3 linked regions of the Coturnix japonica genome follow. The protein of the gene in region 2 interacts with the protein of the main gene of each other region in a pairwise test. Links are inferred from orthologs where the notes say so. Each region holds a gene or a part of one and is shown on either strand. Other genes may lie near its edges.

What was found.
Region 1: the proteins of TOP3B (region 2) and MID2 interact in binary tests that used the Homo sapiens proteins (3 or more experiments, as listed by UniProt). The two-hybrid records come from large-scale screens. The link is inferred for Coturnix japonica from reciprocal best matches to the Homo sapiens genes TOP3B and MID2.
Region 3: the proteins of TOP3B (region 2) and SPRED2 interact in binary tests that used the Homo sapiens proteins (3 or more experiments, as listed by UniProt). The link is inferred for Coturnix japonica from reciprocal best matches to the Homo sapiens genes TOP3B and SPRED2.

What each region holds. Positions count from the first base shown.
Region 1 is NC_029519.1:1,720,535-1,727,749, forward strand, and holds the start of MID2 (probable E3 ubiquitin-protein ligase MID2), read right to left. Parts: upstream 4,874-7,215; 5' UTR 4,660-4,873; intron 4,494-4,659; exon of another isoform or gene 4,389-4,493; intron 3,786-4,388; exon of another isoform or gene 3,490-3,785; intron 1-3,489. UniProt on the Homo sapiens protein: E3 ubiquitin ligase that plays a role in microtubule stabilization. Mediates the 'Lys-48'-linked polyubiquitination of LRRK2 to drive its localization to microtubules and its proteasomal degradation in neurons.
Region 2 is NC_029530.1:347,108-353,586, reverse strand, and holds part of TOP3B (DNA topoisomerase 3-beta-1), read right to left. Parts: coding exon 6,443-6,479; intron 5,732-6,442; coding exon 5,657-5,731; intron 5,371-5,656; coding exon 5,174-5,370; intron 4,909-5,173; coding exon 4,752-4,908; intron 3,649-4,751; coding exon 3,535-3,648; intron 2,623-3,534; coding exon 2,532-2,622; intron 2,228-2,531; coding exon 2,073-2,227; intron 1,837-2,072; coding exon 1,731-1,836; intron 1,212-1,730; coding exon 1,065-1,211; intron 322-1,064; coding exon 148-321; intron 1-147. UniProt on the Homo sapiens protein: Releases the supercoiling and torsional tension of DNA introduced during the DNA replication and transcription by transiently cleaving and rejoining one strand of the DNA duplex.
Region 3 is NC_029518.1:1,451,968-1,458,446, forward strand, and holds part of SPRED2 (sprouty-related, EVH1 domain-containing protein 2), read left to right. Parts: intron 1-652; coding exon 653-830; intron 831-2,065; coding exon 2,066-2,234; intron 2,235-4,477; coding exon 4,478-4,542; intron 4,543-6,479. UniProt on the Homo sapiens protein: Negatively regulates Ras signaling pathways and downstream activation of MAP kinases. Recruits and translocates NF1 to the cell membrane, thereby enabling NF1-dependent hydrolysis of active GTP-bound Ras to inactive GDP-bound Ras.

The sequences.
Region 1 (7,215 bases), on a different chromosome or scaffold from region 2:
CCTCTGTCCCAGCAAAGGGAGTTTCCCAATTCACCAAGCCCACACAACACCTGGTGGCCAACATGATGGTGTTGGGGGGCTCATGGCCCCACTGCGTGTGACTTCCATTCTTTCCAGCCCCATAACAAATCTCTATTCATCAAGCAGCTCCATGAGTCAGCACCAGGTGCCAGCCCCATAGCGTGTGCTATTTGGGATCTGCGCAGAACCAACACCAGGTGCAGGCCCCATAGTGTGCTACTTGGGATCAGCACAGGCCCAGCCCCAGGTGCCAGCCTCATCATGCATTATTAGGGGTCTGTGCAGACCCAGCACCAGGTGCCAGCCCCATAGTGTGCTATTTGGGATCCACGCAGATCCTGCAAGCACCCAGGCCCAGTAGCCACAACAGATGGCCCACAGTCCCACCACCTTTCCCAAACCACTGCCCATCCTGGAGCCTTTTGCTCTCTTCCCCACCCCCACCCCATTCCCCTTCACAGCCCAGCACACCCAGCCACTCCGGGAGCCAAATCCCTCTGGCTCCCTCAGCACTTTAAAGATCAGCCTGGTGGAAACACCGTACCCCACCAGCAAGAAATCCACCCGCCCAGACCCCAGCACACAGAGCTGGTACAGAGGCATGGCACACAGCCCCGGGTGAGCAGTAACGTAGCTGTAGCTGTGCTGCAGCCTTGCAAGCAGCCAGAGAGCTCCAGCTCTGCAAGGACAAGGGGAGGGCACGGCTGCAAGCTCCCATCCCAGGGATGGATGCTGCATGGAGATGTGTGGGGTGCAGAGACACACAGCTGTGCAGCCGCCCCATGGAAGCTCAGCTCCCTTACTGAACTGGATGCAAAGCTCGGGGGTCCTGTGTGTCTCCCAGTACAGATGCTGTTTGCATCCAGCTGCTCCAAGCCAACACAGCACAGAGCCAGCCATGCTCCATAGGACCCTCAGACCCTGCACGCACTGAAGGAGCCTTCATTGTGGGACATCCTTAAGACAGAGTGCTCTTAAAGAGCATTAGCCACTGCCCTCGTGCCCTGCTAATTGGTGGCCACGTAACTCAGCCCCAAAACCACAACATCAGGACACGACAGATGCCACAGAGTCGGGAAGTCCAAAGGCCATTGTCCAGCTCTGTCTAAGTTTAGATATATCCGTGCTGCCTGCGTGGGGCTGCATTCCTGGCCAGGCGGGTAAGATAAACAGGGCTTCCTGCAGGAACTGAGGACAATGGGGAGCAATCAGCAGTAATCCCCCACAGGAGAACAATGCAGGTAGGAGATATTTTGGTCTCAGCTCAGGAAGAGGCACCCAGGGCCGGTGGAACAGAGCAGGGCTCAGCTCACAGCCCCATATGGGGGCAGCCCCACTGTGGGTTCAGGGGCTGCCATGAGGAGGACATTACTCAGCCACTGCCCATCCTTTGGGGGCTTGGTGGTATATCCAGGACAAAAGGGCAAACAAGTCACAGAGCAGGACAGCTCTTACCCTCATTGCATCTGGCAAGCAGTAATCCCACCCGCTCATCCCTGGGCTGCCAGGGGCCGCAGCATCCTCTACATCTGGTACCCCCCGTGAGAACACTCAGGGACTCGCTGCCTCCATGCAGCCTCTCAGGGAGGTTTTCTCCAGGAGAAATGAGGAAGGATGGAACAAGAGCACAAACAAGCCCTTCCTTATCAAGGAAACAAATTTCCCAGAGGCTCCAGGGCTATTAGTGACCCCAGGGGCATCAGCACGGAGGAAAAGAGGATGGCAGCCGCCAGGGCTGCTTGGCATACAGACCTTTCCTTGCTCCCCCCCATCCCTTCCCTGCAGCCAGGGAAAAGCTCCAAGCACAAAACAGAGCGGGTTCCTGGGAGGGGGAATGCAAACCAGGCAAGCAGGCACCCAGAGCCATGGCCAGGTCCCAGCATGCCTCAGCTGTACTGTGATGCAACGCGCAGCTGGGAGCCATCAGGGGAATGTACTGAGCAGAGGTAAAGGCCTGGGTCTGTGCATCCACCCTAAAAACACACAGCACCCATTGCTTGCTTTGCCATAGCTCTGTGATTTCAGGAGTCTGGGTATTTCCCTGAGGAGGGACACCATCACCACGAGCTCTCCCACCCCTAAACTCCATCAGATGGCAGCACCCAGGCATCAGCTCCAATGGGTCCCCACCCAGGGTAACCCACAGCAGTGCCTGACCCACCTCCAAGCTCTCTGCACCGTGGGATGCTGAGCTCCTGCCGTGCACACACAGATGTACATGTGCATGTTCCCTCTGCTCCCACGCAGACCCTGGGCCAGCTGATGCTTGTGACGTTCCAGCTCAGCTCCAGGAAGAGCTCAGCCTGAAGTTCATTTTTTCCCCCCACTTTGGTCAACCAAACTCAGAACTGAGTTTGTATATTCAAACGCCATTTAATTTCTAGGCCGTTCCCCCCAGCGCGTGGCTGGCGAAACAAGACCCAAACGACCAGAGCCAGCAATTAATTCCCCTGTGAGACAGAAATTCCAGCAATAAATAATGGTAATGGTATTCCGCAGAGGCACAGAGCCCCTTTCATTTCCCAACCCTGAGCCACGTCATGGGAAGCCGGCGAGTCGGGCTGCTCCTGGCAGACACCCCACGATGTGCTGCGCCGTGGGGCCTGCAGGAAGCATCTCCTGCACTGCTGTAATGCACCAGGCTCAGCCCCATTTGGTGCAGCCCCAGCTGTGCACCGGGCGATGCAGTGATGCTGGGGCATGGCTGGGGACAAGAGCTCTGAACGTACACGAGCATCGCAGGGAAAGGGATGTGGGCACAAGGAGGGGGCAGGAATGGGGCATCCCAGATGCTGGGTTTGCCTGATTGGGGAGGAACCCACAGATGGATGGACGGAGCCTCCAGGCTGCACAATGGGCCATTTCCTAAGAAAGGGCAGCGTGTCCAGCGGCACAAAGGGCACTTATTCTGCCAGCCAGCAGTGTGGGAGGAGAGCTGTCACAGCCCATTGGGGCCACCAGAAACCCCTCTTAAGCCCCAAACCCCACCACCCCACACTGCAGCCCTGTCCCAGCACATCCCAGAGTTGCCACGAGGACTGTGAGTGGGGGGGATGGAGGGCCCCCCCTCCGGGGCACAAAGCCATCACATTGCTGGAGGTGACAGCCAAGGGAGGCTCTCGCTGGCCTCCATGCAGTGCCCTCTACTTGGGAAAAGGCAAGCTGGGGGCAGGCCGTAGCCTGCATTATTTGGAGGGAGGAGAAATTTGGCAAGAGCTGGGCACGGAGTGCAGCACAGCGTTGGTTTGGGGGTTGTGGCATCTCCGGTGAGGCGGCACAGCTGTCACCCTGAGGTGTGACACGGCTCCGGGGTCAGGAGCTGACCCGAGAGGCTCAAAAAGAGAAACCCCCAACCCCTAAAACCCCACATTCCAACCACCCTCTGCCGTGCAGAAACCCACAGCGTGCTGGAGAACGCGCCCCCCGCCGCCCCCCACCACCAAAAGGAGAGATGACCCCGATACAAACCAACGCAAAGTCACCGACCCATCTCACGCGCTCCGGGGCCGATCCCATGCCGCCTGCCGGCACACGGACAGCAGCACACGGATCCGGAGCCGTACGCTCGGAGCTCCGGAACCACACCAGCACCTGCCCAAGCCAAGGCAGCTTCCTTCAGCCTTCCTCCTCATCGCTGCGTACTTCCCATGGGCGGCCTCGAGGAGCCCAAATCCCTTCGTGTCGGCCGAACCTCCCCCACCCCGAGCGTTCTGCGGCCGAGCGAGGAGCGCTCTTTAGAACGGAGGGGGGAAAACCCGAACCCGGAACGCAGCAAGGAGCACCTGCAGCCGCCCGGCAGCGCCTCCCGCATCTCACGCCCCGCACAAACCCCGCAGCGCTGCGGGACCCTCCGGGACGGGGGGTTGGGAGAGGGAAGAGGGCAGCGGGTTCGGGCACCGTACGGTGTTGGGGAGCGTCTTATAGAACTCGGCGCTGCCCTTCGGGACCGGCAGCACCGCACGGAGCTCAGCGCAGCGCCCGCGATGCCCGGTGCGCATTTCTCCGCGCTCCGCCGCGTTTTTGGGAGCCGGGAGAAGAGCTCCTTTCACCGTCCGCTTCCATTTCAACTTCAGCGGGTTGGGGGGCAGCGGATCTCACGGCCGAACCCCGCCGACCGGCTGCGGCAAAAACCGGCACCCCCCCACCCCAAAACATTACATTACATTAAAAAGGCAGCGGGACGGTTCCGGGGGAAAAGGGCCGGCACGGAAGCACGGAGCCGCCCGCCCTATAACCGGATGGCGGAGCCCCATAAATCCTACAGGAACCCCTAAAAAAAGCCCAGGGCGGGGCTGCAGCCCCCCCTAACCTCCTCTTTATTTCCCTGCGGTGCCCCCACGCGATCTCGGTGCCCCCCTTCCCCTTACCAGCGGGCTGCGGCAGCCTCCCCGCCGCTGCCCGGGCATCTTGGAGGCGGCGGCGGTGCGGGGGAGACGGCGGCGGCGCGGGCGGGCGGCGGCGGAGCTGCGGGGCGGGGGGGGAGGGAGAGGCGGGACCGAACTGCTGCCCGCCCCGCCGCCCCCCACCGCCCCGCCCGCTCCAGGTGAGGCCGAGCCGGGCCGGGCCCGACCGCCCCCGTAGGGCTGGGAAACGAAGGGGAGATCGCAGCAGCGGAGCCACCGCGCGCCCCATCCTCACCTTAAATCCCTCTCCAGCACCGCTCAGCGAGGACGGTTTTCCTGATTGCAGCCGAGCCACATCAGCCCTTATTGCATATATCCATGCAGAAAACAAGTGGCCCCGTCGCAGCCCTCCGCTCGCCCCCCAGACCATTTCCCTATGGGAGTGCTGCCTGGGCCCCGCGCTGAGCTGCCGGTGGCAGAGGTGACCCTGGGCCAGCAGGCACCGAGTGGCGCTGCGTGGAGCCGGCAGGGCAGCTCCGTGTCAACACAGCGACCGCTGCGGGGTGAGTCACATTCCGTAGGGATGAGGAGATCACCCCCGGCTGCCCCACGTCTGGATGTTTTGGAGTCACCCTTCCCATGTCGGTGCATTTGGGTCAGGAGGTTCCTTGCTTTTCACACCCAGCGTGTTGCTGGGAGCGGGGGGGTCCCGGTGTGCGTTAACATCCACATCCCACCAATGGGAAATGAAGGTGCTTCAGTCACACCGCGGGCCTGGGGAGCTCTGTGAGTAACTAACAGCTCTAAAGCACGACTCGCCCTCTGACATCTATTCTTATGGTGGAAAAAATATATATACATATAAAATCCTTTTAACATCTGAATCCCTCTTCCAGAGCAGCTCTAGTGATGAGCAGGGCCAGATGAATTCCCCTGATATCATCACCTTTTCTTCTTGTGTTTCGGTGGCTTCGTGCTTTCCACGTCTCCCCAGCACCTCCCTCACCTGCTGCCTGTCGCTCTCTCCTCCTTTGCCGCTGCTCGGGGACGGGCAGTGGATGCTTTGCACCACCTCATGTTGAGCTCTGGAATTTCACAGCCCGCTCCCAATTTCCTATGCTGAGCAAACCGTGGAACAGCCGGAACAGGCTGTGCTGGCTCAGCACCCATTGCCCAACACCTCTCTGGGGATCGGTGGTTTAGCCATGCGCTTCCATTTCACCATCAGCATCTGAAGCAGGTGTACATCCCTGTGCACAGCTCTTGCAGGAGTGGCAATGGGCTGCGTTGGCAGCACTGTGCCTGTGTGTAACCCCATCCTGCTGTCTTCCACAGGAGGGAAATGCTCGCCTCTGCTGGGAGCTGGCATGGGATGTGGCTTTCAGAGAGCCTGCAGCCCCCTGAGGGAGCAGCATGCAGTGCTATGTCTGATGGAGGGCTGTAATGCCCTCAAGACCCCTCCCAGCGTACCCACACTCCCCAGCCCTGCGCTCCTGCAGGATGCTGCAGGGCAATCTCTGTGCCTTGCCAAAGAGAAACTGGCTTGCAGCAGCCACAACAGCCCCACGAGACCTACCCTGACCTTACAGAAACATTCCCACCCTTCCCAGCTCACTCAGAACAGCCCTTTTGCATTTACTCACATCTCCCACTGGTTTCAACCTCAGGTACCAGCAGGTAAAGCACACCCAGCTGTTAATAATGGAACAAATCACACATGTATTCAGTAAGACCTGAGTCTGACTTAGAATGAAATCAGTAACATTGCTCCCAGAGTGCTGAAGACCTGCACTTTTCTCCCATCACCTACAGACCTCAAAATACTTAAACCCTTCTTTCCTTCCCTGCCCTCCTCTCTTCCTTCCTTCTTTCATCTCTCCCTAACACAGAGCACGTGCTGCTCATTACAAGAGCAATTAACTCTTCCATCCAAGGGATGCTGTGGGTCTCCACACCACCATCCTTCAGCATCCCAGCACTGGGCAGAGGGCAGTGGAAGGGCTGCAGTGGGCATCTGAGTTGCTCTGAGCTGCTGGGAAGAAACCGCCCCACATTCCCCACACTACAGGCTGTGCTGCAGCCCTGCCCCACTGCAGCCCTGCCCCACTGCTGGGGTCTGGCCCCATCGCTCCTCCTGAGTCACAGCGATGAGACCCATGGAGTTCCTGTGGGTTTGGGGTGTCTCTTTCTTTCTTTCTTCCTTTTTTCTTAATTAAAATAAAATAATAATTGTCAAATAACTTCTGTGGATAATTACGGGCTTCTTGCTCACTTATTGGAGCCGGGCTGTAATTATCTGTGATGCAGGTGATTTGCAGCATGGATCATGTGGTGCTGAGTGGGTCAGAGGAGCACAGGGATACCGAGATCACAATTAGGATTTTAAAGCATGTTTTCCAGGGCTGCCCTGAACTCAACACAAGGGTTTGCTCCATGTTCTGCAAGAGCACAGTGCAGTGCAGGGATGCTGATGGCAAAAGGAACAGCCCTCTCTGCAGCTCCACTGTGACCCCGGGATGCCCAAGTGCCACCGACCGCATAGCAGAGCTGCAGTTCTCCAGCAAACATGGGGAAACTGAGTCCTGATGGGGTGCCAAAGTGCTCCCCACTCCCTACCCAGGAGTCTGGTGGCATTTGTGTCCCCATACAGCCACCCGCTGGTGGCATTGCTGCTGGCACTGGTGGAGACAGAGCTCAGCCCGCATGAGATGATGCATACAGGGGTATTTTGGGTCCCCCCTCATGTTGGGGTGGGCAATGCTGTCTCCATGGCTGCCCATCAGCATGGTAGTGTGCTTGCAGGACTTTCTCACACCCTCAATCTGCAGCATCAAAGCTGGTTTGAAGCCTT
Region 2 (6,479 bases):
TTTGACAGGAAAGAGATCATGACTGGAGTTATTGAAATGAATACTGAAAGGTCATTGCCAACAGAGCAAGTTCAGAGGAGTGATTCAGACCCCTTTGCCCTCATAGTACATATATTACAGGATAATGTATGTCAAACAAGTACCTACCAATGCCATGCTTTTCCATCAGTGTGATGAGTTCTGCTTCCGTCAGGTAGTCAGGAGGACTGGTTTGCATTTCCAACAATTTTATTTCCCCAACTGGAAAGAGATCTCCTTTCTCACAGCAGGGAAGGCTCTCTTCTAATGGGATGCTCTGCCAAGGCATAATTTCTGTGAAGCCTGGAGGTAAACAAAATAATGAGAGCTTATCTTCACAGCTTTCAAAGGGCCAAGACACACACTTCTAATTTTAACACGGGCTACACGATGCACATCAAAGTTGAGAGGCTGTTTGCCATTCCCTGCAGACAATATTTGAAATACTGTATCAAGAGATGGGATCTCCAACGGCATAAAAACTTCTGTGGATAAATCGAGTCCTGCTGATATATGGAGAAAAAAACAAAACAAAACTGAAAAAACAACCGAACAGGGCTTTCCTCAAACAAAAGCACAGTGCCAGAAGTCTTACCAAGTGGATGGGAAGAGTCTCTTAAAAAGAAAGTGCAAATACTAAGTTGTATTAATGTAGCAGATGACTGGGACAGCCCGCTGTGAACATTTCACTGAGGGTACTATAGTCCTTTTCCTGAGGCTCAAGGGAAAAATATAAGAAAAAACCATCAGCCTTTGTGCAACATAAACCACAACAGGATCTGCAGTCTGAAAAAAGACTGGTCTTTCCACCGGTCAGTGTGGCATTAAAGCTTTGAGACCACTACATGGGAAGTACATCCTTTTCCAGCATAACGTAAATAAGGAAGCGAAGACCAAGATTCAGTCCTTGTCATCTTAATAAGCTCCAGGAAAAAAGAAGTCTTAAATTCTACTTGCCTCCAAAACTTCACTTTTATATCTATTTAATGCATGAGTGGGTAAAATAATAAACGGTGCCTAACTACTTACTCCCTGGTTAGTTTTACCTGGTGAAGTTACCACTTTCCCAACGCAGTTAAAACGTTCAGGGCCAATGCTGACAGAAATGTTGGTTTGTAGGTACTTGCAATCAGCGCTCACAGTGGCAATGAAATGCCTAGTGATGTACTCATACAGCCGCCATCCATCTCCACCTGAGGATAAACAATATCTTACTCCCACAAATCAAGTCCTGCAGCACTACATAAAATTTGCGCTAAAAGATATCAGATTTCCACAGAAACCACAGGGAAAACTGGTACCTAAGAGAAAATAGGATTGAAAAGTCCATCCAGCTTCCCCTTCAAAATTTCCTACCCATAAAATCATACTTGTTAGAATCCTGTGCTACATTAACTTCAACTTTTTCTTTTTAAATATGCTATCAATCGGGCTGCCTGACAAACTAGCACAGAACAGACAAGAGCTACACACAGTTTCCTTAATCACAACATATAGCTAGGAAATCAAATAGCAGAGAGGTTATAATACTATAAACAGAAACTTAGCTCCTAAGTATCAGTCTTGTGCTTTGCATATTTCATCCTATTGTGTACAAAGAAGTTTTACATAGCCATTCAGTAAGCTGTATGGCTACTCAAAGTCTTAACATGCTTCTTTATCAGAGAACCAATTTCCTCACAGTGTTCTAACACTATTCAGTTTGTCTGTACCTAATTCTGCTTCTGTTGCAGCTTTCATTGGAGTGATGGGTGGATGGTCACCTGCATCGTGGCCTTTCCTTGGACGATTGATGCCTTCTGATAGCAATGCTTTTACCTGGGTCAAGGAAAAGAGAGAAAACGGGTTGAAGTGGATAGCAGGTCTCTACTATCAGGTTAGAAGTTGTTTTTTTTTTTAAGATCAAATCCATAACTACAATATCTGTAAGTAAAAGCAATTACAGATACTTGTTGTTTGCAGAGACCTACAGATCAAGACATACCAGGTAAGATGTTCTAAAAACACAGACTAGAGAACCACCTGTAGAACAGTACAGGTTTTGATTTACTCACCGTTTCTGCCCAGTAAGGATTATTAGCTTGTTGTCTCAAGCATCCTTTCAAGTCAAAGTTTTCTGGATAATGGGTAGTTTCTGTTCGAGGGTAGCTAATATAACCCTGTGTATAAAGACGCTCTGCTATTTGCATGGCGTGTTGCGGACCCATTCCTGGGATGGCACAGGAGAGAACAAAATCATACAGCAATCTGTAGATGCCTTTGGTTGCTGAGTCTTAAAGCACACCTTGTCAAAACATTTAAGCTAATTACAAATTACAACTTGTCCTTTCTATAAGACTTTTGCCACCTTGATCTGACCCAGTACTTTTGACATGCTTTCTAAACTTGCTTCCCAAAAGTGATACACTGTAGGGAGACTTATTAAAATATTACATATGGGCTTGATTATTTCAGCTGAGAATCCAAAGTATTTTGCTCTAAATCAGTGTGAAAATCTAAACTTTTACACGTACCTAAAGCAGCACTGGCCACTCGTAGCATTTCTACCGTGTTCAGAGCCAGTGGTCTCTGCTTCACCTTCTCTTTTTTACTCACAGATTCTACCTAGAAAATAGCATTTTTCCAGTAAAAGTTTTGAAGTTTGGTAACTGATAAATGTAAAATGTCTATTATGACTAAAACCATGTGGTATTCCTACCAGGACCTGCTTTCGTCACATCTGTGTTTTGATATTTTTCCGTAGAAAAGTAACCGTCAGATCTGGTGGAAATCTGATGGGAAACAGCTTTACCAAATGCTGAAGGAATAGCCCCAGGGTCCCTTCACATTATGGACTAGATCAGACCTACCACTGGACATGAAGGGATGTAGCTTACTGCTACCTTCACTTCCCATTTAGCTCTGCAGCACATACATCAGTGCTACAAGGGAGTAGTGCTCAACCCAAGTAACGGTCCTAGATATAAGGATCTCAACTTTTTAAAACACCGTGTAGCCTCTGAACGTTGGTAGCTGTAAACACTTAAATCCCAACACAGTGTCAGACAAGCATTGAACAGAACAGCAGGTTAGTTGGCTATAAGGACTGTACCGTACAAAGTTAAAAACTTAACTGCAGGAATGTTGTTCTATAAGTAAATAGATTTCGATCTATGCAGTGTCCTGTGGGAAACAAGAGGTCTGCTTGGGGAGTTCTGAACTGTGCTTCTCAGCAAGTTCAGCAATGAAGACTGTTAATTCCTATCGTGAATGATGACCATTTCCAAAGTCAATATTAAGAATGGGCTTCTGTTGAGATGACCATACTAATGTAACACAAACTACAAGCAAGAATCTTTTGCCTTTTACTTATCATTTACACAAAGTTGAATGAAATAAAAAAAGATAAGGATTATATTTCTTAACCTTCTTCGCCAAAAGAAGGCTCAAAAAAACCAATATACAGTAGATGAACTATTGAGTAGTATTTCCTTTATGTGAAATAAGCTCTACCAACACCTAAGTAAATAGTTCTACCTTTGCTTCTTTTGCAGCCTTTGTTATATTTAGGAACATCTGAGCGATCTCACGATCAAATACCCGCACTCTGTCCCAACTCAAAGTGAGAGAACTTTCCTTTTCAGGGTTCACCTGATGGATCAAAAACAAACAACAACAAATTAATTCCCACCAGCACTATTACTAAAAGTGCAGAATGCACTTCAGCAATAATCCAGCAAGTAAACCTTAGTAGTAGTTGTTTTACAAGTGCTCCAAGCATGCAGCTGTACTCATTTTCCAGTGGCTTCTGAGAAAGAGTAATTTGAGTTCTGGGGCAAGGAGAATGACTGAAATTATTCTTGCAGTTAACTGAAATACTGTGCTTATTTTAAATACTTGGAATAACAAAGGCAAAATGGGCCGAAATTCAAAGTTTAACATTTTCACTTAGCAAAATTCATTAATTCTTTGCATTAAAAATAAAATGTACGTGGGCCACAATCCAAGTCCCTCCTACAAAAGTAAATATGAACTAATCAATGTGTGTGCATGAAACACCCTGAAAACAGGAACCAAATGCTTCCTAGCATGACACATATAAAGGAGATATAGCAGAAAACAGATAAGAGTAGACACTGGATTTCAACTTTTTTTTCTTTTTAAATTTTAAAATCTAAAAATAGCAACTTTTTACCATCTATCTCCTATTTATTTACACAATCCTTGTCATCACAAACAGTAAAACCATGTTGGTTAGCGCTCCAAGTTGGAACAGCAGCAAGGCTATAAAACTGCCATAAACTGCCAAAGCATTCAGAAGACTCAGTGCCAACACAGTGAACATTTTATTTGCTTCAGAATTCCAATACTCAGCAATGCCAATGCTCACTGGCAGACAAATTAATTCTTGGATTCAAATTAACACCACAGTTGGTCCAAGGACCCCAGGGAACAATAACAGGCCATTTTAAGTAGTCTTTCTGGCTCAGTCTAAGCTTAGATGGTTACCACTAAAGAATTTTTACAAGCAGCACACAATAACCGCTTGAACACAGAACCGACATCCTCAAATCTATTAAGAGAGTGGTGACACACATGTGAACTGAATGAAAATAGACGAGTAAACTGTAGGCACTGTGAATTCTTGTCAGCAGCTACAAATTCATGAATGGACAAAATGAAAGTGTTAAGTCCGTTTCTTACTATATAAGAAGGAAAACATGTTTTAATCAAACAAATAACACATAACTTACTTTAGCCTGCAGCACCCAGTAAGTCTCAGGCTTGAATGACTGGATTTTGTCGTGCCTTTCAACACAGAAACCAAGTGTTGGTGTTTGACATGGCCCAAAGGAGATGAGGGAGCTGTCTAAGTTTCCGTATTTCCCCTGAAAATACTTAGTCTGAAACCTTAAGGAAAAGATCAAATAAAGCATCAAGTAGATGAATATCCTCATTCCCATGCAAAGCAGCAACTTTCAGGAACTTTCCCAGATACGTATGAATAATCTGCCAAGTCACTCATGTATATTTAAAAAAACCAAAAACTTCACAGTATAAAATTGTTTGCTTTGGTAACTCAGTAGAATTAACCACTGCAGCTCTAAGGCACATTCTATGGACAGGGCAGTATTCCTGAACCTTTCATAAAACCATCTGCAATCTGTGCTGTTACCTTGTAAACGCGCAGCCAATTCTGAGATCCAGCTCCTGGCGGGCATCCACTGAAAGGGCTTCATTGCGATTGGGTTCTCCCAAATGATTCATGGCATTGCAGATGTCTGTGTCAGTAATAGAACTGAATTTAGCTCTATAAATCGTCCTTTCGGTGCTAGGAAGTTTGTTCATAACAGGAAGAACAGCATCAAGAACCTAAGGAGGATCAGAAGAGGATTTTGTAAGTAACTGAAAGCTGAGGGCTTAAGTCAGTTCTTTCCTCTGGAGGGAAAAAAAACAAACCAAACCCTCCCCACAAAACATCTGCTGATGTGTAACACTGCTACACAGTAACACTGTGAATATCTGATGAATATGTATCAGTTTCTACCTAGGTTGCCAGGGCACAGTTATGAAGTGGTGGTATTTAAAGAACTTAAACACTTGCTAAAATGTGCTTCTTTAAACAAGAGAGAATGAAATATGGTATTAGAAATCTTACTTCAAAACAGATGTTTTCTCCCTCCTTATCACAATCCAACCACAAGACAATGCAATCGCAGCCTCTTCCCTCCACCTGTAGGAGAAATTAGCAGAGTCATCAGCTACTCAAAAAAGAATCTCTTCAATAACTGTATAGTTTTTGTTTCTGTTTTAAAGCTCTAAAGACTGACACAATTTATTTGGTGCAAAAAGAGTTGGAATAAGAAAGCAAAAGTAAAAAGGAAACAGCATGTAATCATAGAATGGCTTATGGGAGAAGAAGGCTGTGCTTCACAGAACTGAAGGTTTGCCTACATCCTTTCTGCAGGATCTCAAAAAAATACATATATCAGCACGGATGGCTCTACAGCAGAGGAAGGCTCCTGAAGTTCTGTATGCTGTAAGCACACTGTATGCATCACCTTGGGCCCAGTCCCTTCCCCTTCCTCTGTCTTAATTCTTACATCATTAAATCAAACAAGCAAGAATAAAAAAAACAAACAAACCACAATCAAGAACCACTTTCTAGCGCATAAAGCTGCCAGGAAGTCTGAAGTTATCCACCAGAAATCAGTCTTACACCAAACACCTTCTTTCAAGAAAGCGCATCATTTTGAAAAAGGATCCAGATCTTTGCTTTCATCCCAGAGAGCTGCACGTGAGAAAAGACTGACAGAGACACCCTGAAGGAGCCATTTACAGGCCAGACCTTCCATGCGCTGTTAGAAGCCAAACACGAATCCAATACACGTACAGATTGTCTTTTTTGACAAGAACCTCAAATACATTTCTCAAGAAAGAATACCTGCAAAAACTTCACCATGGTCAGTTTGGGATTAGCT
Region 3 (6,479 bases), on a different chromosome or scaffold from region 2:
ACCTTTCATGATGAGCTATTTCTTCCAGAATTCTTTTGTTGTGAGCTTATGATGTGCTGCCTTTGAAAGCCCTTCAAGAGCTGGTGGGGCTTTTTTTAAGAGCATGGCGTAGTTCTCATGGTCCTGATATGACCTGAGCTGAGGTGATTCCTGTTTCCTTCTGTCTGAGGTACCAGCTGGGGTCACAAATGTGTTTTGTGTCGTGATTCTGGGGGAATTTCTGAGGGCCATCTTCCAGGCTCCACTTGGCTCCCTTGAGTTCCTGGGTTATGTGAGCTCCATGGTTTTTCCACCACTGTGGAGACCAGTTCCCTTACTCTTACCATGTGGGTGTTAGCCTTGGGGCTTCACTTGGCTCATCTTGCTCTTCTCGTCCCCATCTCTAATAGCATACCATGCGTTGTTTGGTGTCTGTGTTGACATTGGGAAAATCAGTGGAGCTGTTCCATGTCGTTTGGTTGGTCTCTGCACTATGGGGGTCTTGAGCACTCAAGACCACGCATTGCAGAGGCGGATTTCCATCTTGGCCACAAACTCTGCAAATGCACTGCGATCAGATCGGAGCTGCCTAAATACCGCCCTCAAGAAAAACACCCTGATGAGAATGTGTGATGCTCACAAAAGGTTCTGTTTTGTTTTGTTGCCATTGCAGTGACAGCTATATTGTGCGAGTCAAAGCTGTGGTTATGACCCGAGATGACTCCAGTGGGGGATGGCTGCCGCAAGAAGGAGGCGGCCTCAGTAGAGTTGGCGTCTGCAAGGTCACGTACCCAGAGGGCAATGGAAGAAGTGGATTTCTAATCCATGGTGAAAGGCAGAAAGACAAACTGGTAATAGAACCTAATTCAACTTTTTGTCTGTTCTTATAATGAGAATTATCCCGTATCTGATGCTATTGTGTTCTTGTGCAAGATTTAAAAAATAAAAACAAAAAAGGCATGTACAGCTAGAGCCAGATTGTACGAAGCAATCCTGTCCTCATCAAGAAAGCAGTTGAGTTGCCATCTCTCACTGTCTGGCCATCATGCTGCCACGAGCAGGTAAAAGGTGTGCAAAGAACCCCCCTCTGATTCCTTGAGAAAGGGCCTGCGTTTTTCTCACATCTAGCAGGGCTGTGTGAGAAGTGAATTGAAGTGTAAAGAATCCATGAAGCCAGTCACATTGCACTGGGTAATGCAGCGCAAGACTTTAAAAATGGCAATGAATTATTTATGCTGCGTGCTGCTCAAGGTTTGAACAAGCAGGGTGAGAATATGAAGACAAGTTGTCTCTTATGAATTGACGCACTCGGTTTCTTCTGGTAGCTGTTTATCTGAGGGGGGAAAAAAAAGACACTTTTCTTTCCCATACAAAGCAAATTAATAAAGCCTCTTCCTTATTTGCAGAGTCTGGTTTAGCTGTTGTATTTTGTTACCGCATTTTTATATATTCAATTCTTCTGAAATTCACTCTTATGAAGAGATGGGCTGGCTTAAAAATAGGCTCCCCGCACAGGCTCAGGAAGCTGAGTGCTTGGGAAAAAAGTGTATATATATCACTTTAGTTGGAAATGGCCTTGCTTTCAAAAGTTCTGGTGTTTTAAAGCTGTTTAAAGTGCAGCTCATCTTTTGTGTTACTGTTCTGCTTAGGATGCCTTTTTTTTTTTTCCCCCACGTTATTTTCAATCAATGCTTACAGTTTGGGGGGGAAACGGGGTAAGACTTAAATGCTGTTTCTGTTCTCTCTGAGCATCACCCTAGAAATGATTTCTGGCACAGAATCCTAGCTGGGCATGAGGGAGGAAAGAGAAGTGGGGGAGTGTAATAGCACCTCCTAAATCTGCCCCAGCGAAAAGTACCTACTCAGAGCCTAATAAAAAGATGAATGTGTGATGCTTATGAGAACAATCAAAGGATCTGGTGTTTATTAGTCATAATTTAGTAGGGAAGGATGTGCTCTCTACCAGCATAGCGCGAATCATGACTTGGCTTGCTTTTGGGTAGAGGAAGGCGCTAGTTGAGGCTGAAGTGGTGACATCTGTGTCCTCGGTATGGGAAAAGTGACTTTGCTCCTCTCCTTCTCTCAGGTGGTGCTAGAGTGCTTCGTGAAGAAGGACCTGGTGTACACCAAGGCGAACCCGACCTTCCACCACTGGAAAGTGGACAACAGGAAGTTTGGGCTCACTTTTCAGAGCCCTGCTGACGCTCGAGCCTTTGACAGAGGCGTGAGGAAAGCCATTGAGGACCTCATTGAAGGTACCAGGGCGTGTGTAAACTTGAAGTGTCTTCAAAGCAAGGAGATGGGAAGATGTGGGAGTTAAATACCAGTCCTTGGACTTGGAAGTCAATCTGGCGCTTCCAAGTGTGCCAGGCTAGCTCAGTTCAGAGAGCCGTGTCTCTTCATCCCTTAAGGAGAGAAGGGATTTAAGCCCAAATATTTTTTCATCCTGTCTGGCCTGGTCTGCCAGGATCTCACCCATTAGTTGTTGTGTGGTTATGACTGATTTTTTGATAGGCTGTGCTTTCGTGTTAGGGACAACAACAACAGCCCAGGCTTGCCTTTATGTGTAGCCGAATCCACTTACACTGAGTCTTTGTTAAATCAGCAGAGGATGAATTCCTGCACGAAGCTGAATTAAAACTTTGTTTTGTTTTTGCAGTAATTACTTTTGTCTGTGTCCGCTTGGCTGAATGGCTGTACTTGAAGACTTTGTTGTGTTTGGTGTTTTATTTTTTTCATCCTTTAAAAATGCATTTGAATTGCCCATGCTTTGAAGAGGTCATAAATTCTTCCTCTTCACATCTCGCTGCAATCAGTCATAATACAGCTATAACCCAATACTACTTGATTTTATTTACATGAAAATCAATTCTCTGATTTTTGAGCCATCCTGCTTTTCTTGCAGTGCCCTGTCCTTGCTTTACCATGTAAGTGGTAGCTACAGAGTGGGAATTAATCCCCCATGGCTCTTTCCTGCTTTGAGGAAGGATCTTCTCAACTACCGGTTGTTCGCTTTTTCCTGTTTATTTGTTGACCTGAACAAATCATGGCTGACCCTCTGCTTTCTTCCTGCTTGCTAAAACCGGGAAGCATTTTGATTCACAGAAGTGACATTTTATAGAAATGACACACGGCCAAGCAGCGTTCAAAGATTTTAGCTCAGTTGTATTGAGTGGTATTTTGGAGATGCACCCGGTGCATGGCAACTCCAGTTCTTTTTGATCCATTTTACAGTGGAAGTATTTAAAACCAAGTTCCTCTGCATCTCAGATACTTCAAAATCAGCAGCTCTATATTTATCACATTAACAGCACAGGCTGATCCTCATGAATGTGCTCCTACTTAACTTCCAAATAAGGCTTTCTGAATGAAAAACAATCACTGGCACGTGCACGCACAGTGTCAGACCTTGGCTTTCATTTGCTGCTTGTTTTTTGTTTGCTTCATCAAATTCAGCAGGTAATTTAAAGCAGGGCAAACCGCGTCTGAAGCTTCGCTTCATGAAATCACTGCTCTATCCAGCAGGTTATTTCGTGTTGCTTTGAAAGTCTGTTTTGTGCAGGAGTCCTGGGCAGCCTTGTAGGGAAAATCTAGATGTTTTAATTATTTTTTTTTAAAACTAATGTAGCAAACTGCCTGAATGTTTTCACGTTACATAGTGTTTTAAGTGGGCTTTCACACTTGGCTCTGCACATCTTTGCGGTTACGCAACTGAATGCAGCCAAGGCTGGTACAGTTTAGCATTATATAAAGTACGCTATTTAGGATAAATTTCCAGAATGAAGACGCTACAAAGCATTTAAATATTCTAGTTTAAGGATGGGGTGTGGCTGCAACCTAGTGGGATAAAGCATCTCAATGAGGTGGCACCCATGAGGTGAGAGGAGTTATCAGGGGCCAGAGATGTAGGATACAATATCCCACTTTTTCAGTCTTTTTTTATGGCAGTATGAATTTCAGTTCCTTTCAGATACATTGCTTATGTGGGGAAAGACGATTCTATTGATGAATTGCTGATAGCAGGGATGTTTACTGTATTTAACAACTTACAAGAAAAAAAAAAATCAAAAGCTTCCTTTTCAAAGTAAAAGTTTGTTTTTCAATAGAAAGTGATTTTTTGACCCAATTTTAGGGTTTTCTTGAGGAATAACTCATGAGTGGTTTCTTGACAGCTGAGGGTCTGGACCTAAGCACCGATCAGTGCGTAGCTTTACCGTTCTTCAGAAATGAAAGCCTTCTGCAACTGGAAATGCTGACTGCTATTTTTAGCAGAGTTAATTAGCATTGGCAGCCGTGTAGTTACATGTCAAGAAACACTTTCAGATTTTACCTTTCCAACCCAGCAAACAGCAGGTGGTTCTTCTTCCTAAAAAAGAGCTTTTCACATCTATCCAGCAAATAAAGCTGTTAGCCTCCAAGCATTCACCAGCCTGGTAATAATAACAATTGGAAAAGTTGCATGGGAGTGTCATATTTTTAAAAGCCTGCTTGTTTCTAGGGTCTACTACTTCCTCTTCAACGCTTCACAACGAGGCTGAGGTCGGTGACGATGATGTCTTCACAGTAAGTGCATCTCCCTTCTGGCCGTTCTCCTTTATGATCTTGTTTTACATGGTCAGGTTTGAAAGGTTTAAGGGTTCGTTGGTTTTTTTTTGTTGTTGTTTTATTACCTGGGTTTGGCTTCCGGCTTTAATTGCATTTGTTCAGTGGGTGTGTTTTATTTGATGGAAGCATAAACCCTGCAGAAGGTAAACTTGGGTTTCTCTTGGTCTCCCATCGCCATGTGAGAAGCACGACAGAGCAGAGCAGATGTTGTCAGGGCTGGAAGTGAGCAAATAATGTCCCTCCAGTTTAACACGCCATGGTCTGAGTGGTTCTTCTCCATACAAAAATAAAGTAGGTAGCTGCGTCTTAGGTGTGCAGTCAAGGAAATGAAGTTCTGAAATATTACCTTTATTATGGGGAACAAAAGTCAACCTTGAAGGCGTCCTGTGTGTATGTGAAGGTAGAAAGTTCATTGACACATGAGCTACCCAGCCAGCGGTGGCTGAAGGAGGAGTGAGTTCCTCATATTGAATTTATGGTGATGTCCAAAATGTGTTTTGGAGCTTTTTTGAAACAGGAGCACCTACTGTCCCTGCTGCACTCAAATGCTTTGAAAAGGAGGAGGGAAGAAAAAAAAAAAACACAACCGAAACAGTGACCATGTCAGATGAAATTGTAATCTGATCGCGGATATTCTGTGTACTGAAAAAACAACGCTCACAATGAATACTTTGTTTTATTACGCTTATTTACCTGGCTCTACTCACAACCCCCCTTCCTTACACGATAAATGCGCTCGTTGTGTGGTGCAGGTGGGGGTGGGCTGCCAGGTGGGACGTCCTCATTCAGGTCCTTTTCTTTCCTCTAGGACACCCCTCTGCACCTACGGGGGGAGCAGGGCAGGGCCGAGGGTGGGGAGAAGTACCATCCAGCCAGCCAAAAGGTGTCTTTGAGGCCCAAGTGGGCTGGCGCTGGACAGGGCTTTGTGCAGTGCTCCAACCCAGCTGCTGGCACGTCATCTGGCCAGTCCTTTTGTCATGGCTCCAGAGGCAAACAGCAGTCAGGGTTAAAAGGTGACTTCCTGTGCTCGGCAGCAAACCCATCATTAGCAGCTGCTTCCCAGCTACCTGCCAGGGGTGATTTATAGGCACAGAGCTGGGGGAGGCCCCGCTGGAGCCAGGCCAGTTTACCAGTTTGTGCTGTTTCGTCCCCAAAGCGGGGCACTACTGTACTTGTCAGGGTGAGGATGCTCCCTGAAACACACCTTGCATGGGCATCCACATGCCAGCTCTCACTGGGTGAGGCACAGAAATGCAGTGAAAAGCAGCCTGCAGAAAGAGCAAAGGAGATCTTTTTTTTTTTTTTTGGCTTTGTTGGGCTGAATCTCTCCTTTCACTGTAGTAAAGTTCTTTGAAGTTCTTGGCTTGCCGTTTATCTGGGAATCCTGGTAGATGATGGTGGAGCCTGAGATCTGCATAAGCCAGAAATAACACACCCAAGCGCGTAGGGCTTTTAGACTGGAAGAAATTAATGTGTAGTGTTTTTTGGGGGTTGGTTTGTGTTTTATTATTTTTACCCTTCTGTTTCATTCTTTCTTTACACTCCTTTTAAACATATATATGATAGTCCAGTTGGTCCTCCTTGCCCAGAAAATGTTTATTGCAGCTCTCTTGTAAACGCCACAGCAATAGATCTTTTAGGGTTTGGGTTTTCACTCTGTTTTAAAGAGAAAGCACATTTGCTCTTTTTATTTCCTAAGGTAGTTATTAAAATCCTTGCAGTCCTCCCCCTCTCCCACACATGGATGAATAAACTTGACTGCGTGCGGCAGAATTTTCAGAAGCATCTGCATGATTGAGTCATTTAAGCAGTCATTTACGCATCTCTGAAAATCCCAGCCGCTGCCTCCAGTCCTTGCTGCAAGGTCCTGCCTCTCCTTGAAGAAGATGTTGCAA